Sus scrofa: one gene and its partner. The protein of the gene in region 1 interacts with the protein of each later gene in a biochemical or structural test. Links are inferred from orthologs where the notes say so. Each region holds a gene or a part of one and is shown in the gene's direction. Other genes may lie near its edges.

Region 1 (3,646 bases):
TTTTCAGAGTTCTAGCCCCAGCATCATAAATCAGCATATAGAAGATAGCTTAATAAGTGATGCAGACACTAATTCTTTTTTTTTCTAATAAAGTAAAATATGTTAGATTCTCACTGTCCATTTGACCATAGCAAGTCTATGTATCTAACATATCCTTAGCATGATTTCATACCTTATGGAAAAGGCTTCACTTAATAAAAACATGCACATATATAGTCTTTGGTTTCTCTCACCACAGGTACGATCCAAAGGAGAACAAGTGGACTCGGGTGGCTTCAATGAGTACCAGAAGACTGGGTGTGGCCGTGGCTGTGTTAGGAGGTTTCTTATATGCTGTAGGTGGCTCTGATGGGACATCTCCACTCAACACAGGTTAGTCTCTTCTAAGGTCAGTCTGGTTCCCCCAAAGCAAGTTTTCTTAGGAGAGTCCTCCTATAAAAAGTATAACAAGTCCAAGTTATCCTATAATTTAAGACCGTTATTTTCCCTTTAGAGTGCATCTCTTAACTCTTCCTCAGCTCCTTCTGCAGCCATAGACTACTAGTATATTCCAAAAGCATTTCTTTATCCCTTCCTTTTACAAGTTGGTGGGAATTTATAATGAATAAAAGAACTATTTTCTTAATATGATTATTCCCCTCCTTTCAACTATCTTTCTTTAAAAACAAACCCCAAAACCCTCTATGTTATAATCTAAAAATAAGTAAAAACACAGCTATAAACTGGTTTATAGCTATAAACTGGTATTCTTTAAAGAAATTTTTGCCTGAGGACATTGTCAGTGTGGCACTGACATCAGACTGTCACATATCTTGTTTCCTTGGTGGCTTGGGATATAGTAGGAATTTAAGGCAGTGGGGAACAAGAATAAAGCTGTCTGCTGGAGTTCCCGTCGTGGCTCAGCGGTTAACGAACCCAACTAACACCCATGAGGACACAAGTTTGATCCCTGGCCTCACTCAGTGGGTTAAGGATCCGGCATTGCTGTGAGCTGTGGTGTAGGCTGCAGACACAACTTGGATCGTGTGTTGCTGTGGCTCTGGCATAGGCTGGGGACTACAGCTCCAATTCGACCCCTAGCCTGGGAACCTCCATATGCGTGGGTGTAGCCCTGAAGAGACAAAAAGACAAAAAAAAAAATTGTCTGCTTATAACAAGTTATCAGTATGGAATGGTACTTACAGATCATATAGTCTAACATTCTAAGATGAGGAGAGAGGCCACGAGTCAGTGAGCTAATGAGTTATATAGCCAGAACTAGAACAAGGTACCATGATTCCAACATTTGCCCTTTCCACCAACCATACCTAAAAGAAACCAGTCCCTGACAAGAGTATAGTGGTATTATTCAAAGGTGGGTAAGTCCTTCTCAGAAGCAAATATGAGATTGCTTATTGAAAATATGTTATCACAAAGCAAAGTGGCTATAAAGAAAACTAGAGGAGTTCCTGTCATGGCTCAGCAGAAATTAATCTGACTAGCATCCATGAGGACACAAGTTCAATCCCTGGCCTCGTTCAGAGGGTTAAGGATACAGTGTTGCTAGAGGTGAGAGGAAATGATTGAATAGTCACTTACTGGTTTTTCTTTTCCTTGCAGTGGAGCGTTATAACCCTCAGGAAAACAGATGGCACACCATAGCCCCTATGGGGACCCGGAGGAAACACCTAGGCTGTGCGGTGTATCAGGACATGATCTATGCCGTAGGAGGTAGAGATGACACTACAGAGCTTAGCAGTGCTGAGAGATATAACCCCAGAACTAACCAGTGGTCTCCAGTGGTGGCTATGACATCCCGCCGTAGTGGAGTAAGTGCCAACTACTGAAAACTGAAAAACAAGAACCAGGAGAGGGCTGTGCAGAAGGGGAAGTCTGATCTGTAAAATATAATACACTGAGTCAGTGAGGAGATGCACTGAATAGGCACTACAATTCCTGCTACTTTTCTACTGGGAAAAAAGTTAACTTCTTTTGATTACTGTTATCTCAAGTCATTAAATATCTTATAGCCAATCATATATTTAATTAGAGAATGATTTTTTTATGATTTATCTTGTAACAGTTGCTTCTCTGAAAGGCATCTCTCTGTCTTAGCTACTACCATATCTAACTCTACTCATATTCATTGATATCTATTAGGTATATGGATTCATCCAAATCTCTTAGAGTTAATTCCTCCTACCTAATGTTTTTAGGTAATATTCTAAGTAGCTGGCCTAGCAATTCAAAGCAGAAACCTATCTGACCCCACCACTAGTCTCCACAAACTGGTTTGCATCTATCCCATTTATAGTATAGGCTAGAGCAGGCTGACCTATGTCATATTCTAGACCATCAATGACCTGTGACTGCAAGAGACTTCGAGAGTGGACTATAGAATTTATACATCCTAAGACATTTGGCTCAGAGTGAAGTGCAAGCCATAAACCACTGATCATATCATGAGCCCATCAATGTAGGATAATAGGTGGGAGAACTCAGCTGCAGCTAAAGACTCCATAACCTGAGAATAAAAGGGAGTAAATTCTGGTTTTCACACAGCAGGAACACCACCAGTAGGCATCAGCAAGTCAAAGCATTCACATATCTATGGCTCTTTATTACTGGTAAATAACAGCTTCTTAGTCACATTCCTGTTGTTTTCACTGCTACACTGTGTTGATTATATTTTCACTCATTTAGCAAATATTAAGTGCCTACTGTGTGCTGGGAAGGCAAACATAAGCATGACCTGATTCCTCTCCTCAAGGAGCTCCCAATTTGTTGAGGGAAATTGAAGTGTTTCTTTCTAACTATAGAAAACACATTCTGTTGTAGCGGCATGTGCATTATAGGAGAACATGGAATAGTACATTCAATGCTTTTGGAACAGTGGAGAGACTTACCAGGGTAAGTTACATGTAAGCTAGACCATGAAGGAAGAATACAGTTTTCTAGAAGAGGGAAAGAAAACACCAGCCAGAAAATAACATGTGCAAAATATGTAGGTATAAAAACATAGGGTATTTTCTGGGACTAGCAATTAACCAGCATTACTGCAGCATAGAGTGCATTAGAAGTCTGGAGGAACTGAATGACATAAGGATTTTACACTTACCTTTAGGCATTAGGGAGGTAGAAAATTTTTAGCAGAAAGTGACAGCATTGTTAGATCTCTATTTTAAAGAGAATTTCAGTGGAAATTTACATAGTAGACTAGAACAGGCAAATACCAAAACAATTAAGAGCAGTTTGGAGGTTCTTGCTTACTCCCAGTAATTGCTTCACCTAAAATTTAAGAAATAAATGTTTTTGACTCTGTGTAAATATTCTAATTGAATATATAATATTATAGTTCCCATAGTTAAATAGATTTTTGTGACTACTTTTTCCCTCTGTGTTCAAGTAAACCAGAATGTAAGGCCCTAAAGGACTATCTTTTATTAAAGAGATTAACCTAGAAACCAGTCTAAATTTTCCTAGTGATTCTCTAGTTTCTTCAGCAGCCACTGTGTTCTGGTCCCATAGGTTGGCCTGGCAGTCGTGAATGGACAGCTCATGGCTGTTGGAGGTTTTGATGGCACAACGTACTTGAAGACCATTGAAGTTTTTGATCCTGATGCCAATACGTGGAGGTAACCTTTAGGCAGTGTTGCAAATCACCTTA
Region 2 (3,646 bases), on another chromosome or scaffold:
TGAGGATGTGGGTTCAATCCCTGGCCTCTCAGTGGGTTAAGGATCCAGCGTTGCCGTGAGCTGTGGTGTAGGTTGCAGATGCAGCTTGGCTCCCCCATTGCTGTGGCCGTGGTATAGGCCAGCAGCTGCAGCTCTGACTTGACCCCTCGCCTGGAAACTTCCATTAAAAAAAAAAAAGGAAAGAAAGAAAGAAAAGCAGCAGGGAGTGAGGAGGGAAAAAAATGCCTCAGCCTTTCTCCCCTCCCAGCCTCTCCATGGCTTCTGCTGAAGGACCCTAACCAGAGGCAAATGACAAGACAGCCTGAGAGATGGGGTCCATGGGGTCAGCCTGTGGGGCCACAGAGCAGTGCAAGGAAGGATATGGGGCGTGGGGGGTGGTGGGGAATGGAGCCAACAGAATCAGCGCAGCGTCCCTGGGAAACGTGGCAGCCCAGCCCAGCTCACAAGGGGCACACACACAACCCAGCCTGAAGCAGCGGTGGGATGGGGACCCAGAGGGACCCAGAAAAGGGGACATCCAGGCAAAGGCTGGGAGGAAGAGTCTGACCTGCTTGCTCTCTGGCCCACAGTCTCCGTGAGCATCAACAACCTGTACCCCGGCTGTGAGAACGTGAGCGTCCGGAGCCGCAGCATGATGTTCGAGCCGGGCCTCACCAAGGGGATGCTGGAGGTGTTCGGGGCCCCGGCCCACCACCCGCACTGCTCCGCCGATGACCAGTCCACCAAGGCCATCGACATCCAAAATGCCTATTTGAATGGTATGGCCCGCCCCTCCAAATGGGAAGAACCTCGAATTTCCCTTTGGCCTCAGTTTCCCCCAGGAAGCGGTGGGGGCAGGCATCCGTCACAGCTGTACAGGGACAAAGGAAGGGCCAGCGCAGCCCGAGGACTGAGCCGGGACTGGAGGAGTGATTAATGCCACCCCCTCAAAGCAAAGCTAAACACCTTGGTGTCCCCAGCACCTGGCAGAGAAATGGGCACACAGCAGGTGCTTAATAATGACTGATGTGGAGTTTTCCTCGTGGCGCAGCGGTAACCAAACTTGACTAGTATCCTTGATGATGTGGGTTCGATCCCTGGCCTCGCTCATTGGGTTAAGGATCTGGCATTGCCGTGAGCTGTGGTGTAGGTCACAGACGCGGTTCTGATCCCAAGTGGCTGTGGCTGTGGTGTAGGCTGGCAGCTGTAGCTCCGATTCAGTCCCTAGTCTGGGAACCTCCACGTGCCGAGAATGTGGCCCTGAAAAGCAAAAGAATAATAATGATGATGATGATAACTGATGGGTAAATTAATACACCTTTTCAAGTAGTGTCCATGTGTCTGAGCCATCTTTGGGGGTTCCTGGAGCCTTAGGAATTCCAGGTCAGAATCTCACCCATGACACTTCTGGGAAAACCAGCCACACCCACAGCTCATGTAACTGCCCCCTTCCACACACACACACACACACACACACACACACACACACAACCTTCCTCCCCAGCCTAACCCTTCTGCTCCCTCTCCCAGTGTGGGTGGCCTCTCAGACCCAGTCTCCTCACAGCTCCACTCACATCCTTCTTGCAAAAAAACTGCTCATCAACTACTGCATCTTACACCTGTGCATGGTGCCTGCTCCCTTCTGACCTGCCTGGACTGGTCCCTCACTCACCTGTGGAAGGTGAATTTAGTTACTAATTCACCGAAGTTAAGGTTACATTTCTTTTCTTTTCTTTTTTTTTTTTTTTTTTTTTTTTTGGTCTTTTTGCCATTTCTTGGGCCGCTCCTGGGGCATATGGAGGTTCCCAGGCCAGGGGTCGAATCAGAGCTGTAGCCGCCGGCCTACACCAGAGCCACAGCAACGTGGCACCCAAGCCGTGTCTGCAACCTACACCACAGCTCACGGCAACGCCAGATCCCTAACCCACTGAGCAAGGCCAGGGATCGAACCCATAACCTCATGGTTCCTAGTCGGATTCGTTAACCACTGAGCCATGACGGGAACTCCAAGGTTACATTTCATAGTGAGTATACACCACTATTTGGGAGTGAAAAACCAAGTGTATATGTAACTCATACATCTTTCCATTGCTGCTTATACACAAGCACATACACACACTGTGTGGAGTGTTAGAGATATAAGTCCAGATGCAGTAATGAACGTGCAAGGAAAATGTATAAGCAGAAACAGAAAGAAGGTTTAGGAACCATGAGGTTGCGGGTTCAATCCCTGGTCTCGCTCAGTGGGTTAAGGATCCGGTGTTGCTGTGACTTGTGGTGTAGGTTGCAGATGTGGCTCAGATCCTGTGTTGCTGTGGTTGGGGTGTAGGCTGGTGGCTACAGCTCCGATTGGAGCCCTAGCCTGGGAACTCCGTATGCCACGGATTCGGCCCTGAAAAGAAAAAGAAGTAGATTTAGAGATATATAGATAAAAGGCATGGAGGGACTTCCCCTTCTGGCGTAGCGGGTTAAGGATCCAGTGTCGCCGCAGCTGTGGCTTAGGTCCCTGGCCCGGGAACCTCCACATGCCATGAGTGCAGCCAAAAAAAAAAAAAAAACCAAACAAACCACAAAAAAAACAATAATAGACATGGATATAGAAGCAGACAACTACAAATATGTATTCCATGTGTAGATCTATACATAAGTAGATGCAGAAATAAATAGATGGTGGATCCATAAATACATATGTATGTCCCTGCCCCTGCGGGTGATCCCAGAAGTGCTGAGAAAAATTGATTATGATTGAAATTTGGTGGTGGTGTTCCACGACGCTAATCCTCCCTTTTTCTCTGTAGGAGTTGGTGATTTCAGCGTGTGGGAGTTCTCTGGAAACCCCGTGTATTTCTGCTGTTATGACTATTTTGCTGCAAACGATCCCACATCCATCCATGTCATCGTTTTCAGTCTGGAAGAACCCTATGAGATCCAGCTGAACCAAGTGATTTTCTGGCTCAGTTTCCTGAAGTCTCTTGTCCCGGTTGAAGAACCCATAGGTGAGCCTGGGGGAGGGAATACCCTTCTTACTGGCCTTGCACCCAGGTCATCCCCGGATCCTGTAGCTTGTGGTCAGCAGCTGCGCCCACCCCTGTTCCTCCCTCCTACCAGGAAATTTCCACTCTGGAAGGTCGCTGAGGCTCAGCTGTTAGTTTTGTTCTGCCGGGCGTTGCTTTGCAAGCATGTATCTCTGCCAGAAAGACTCGATTCTGAGCAGTTCCTTGAGAATTATTTCTCACTTTCTTTCTACATTTTAGAGCTGCAGTCATTTTTGTGTGGTGCAAAGTGGACTACTTCTTTTGGTAGCTCCTGTACCTTTACCGAATGGCAGAGTAGCTTCATTCTGTGCTTTCATCAAAACTGAAAGAAAAGGGGAGTTCCTGTCGTGGCACAGAGGAAACCAATCTGACCAACATCCATGAGGTTGTGGGTTCGATCCCCGGCCTCGCTCAGTGGGTTAAGGATCAGACGTTGCCGTGAGCTATGGTGTAGGTCGCAGATGTGGCTCAGATCCCAGGTTGCTGTGGCTGTGGTGTAGGCCAGCAGCTACAGCTTTGACTCAACCCCTAGCCTGGGACCCTCCATGTGCTGTGGGTTCAGACCTAAAAAGACAAAAAAAAAAAGGAAAGAAAAGGAACCATATTGACTGAATGCATTGCCTTAGCTTTAT

Evidence for each region.
Region 2: the proteins of KLHL20 (region 1) and DAPK1 are reported together in a solved structure, tested with the Homo sapiens proteins (2 studies listed by BioGRID and IntAct, with this or other methods). The link is inferred for Sus scrofa from reciprocal best matches to the Homo sapiens genes KLHL20 and DAPK1.

The regions. Positions count from the first base shown.
Region 1 is NC_010451.4:116,075,019-116,078,664, forward strand, and holds part of KLHL20 (kelch-like protein 20), read left to right. Parts: intron 1-238; coding exon 239-372; intron 373-1,599; coding exon 1,600-1,808; intron 1,809-3,507; coding exon 3,508-3,614; intron 3,615-3,646. UniProt on the Homo sapiens protein: Substrate-specific adapter of a BCR (BTB-CUL3-RBX1) E3 ubiquitin-protein ligase complex involved in interferon response and anterograde Golgi to endosome transport.
Region 2 is NC_010452.4:27,738,131-27,741,776, reverse strand, and holds part of DAPK1 (death-associated protein kinase 1), read left to right. Parts: intron 1-569; coding exon 570-758; intron 759-2,777; coding exon 2,778-2,975; intron 2,976-3,646. UniProt on the Homo sapiens protein: Calcium/calmodulin-dependent serine/threonine kinase involved in multiple cellular signaling pathways that trigger cell survival, apoptosis, and autophagy.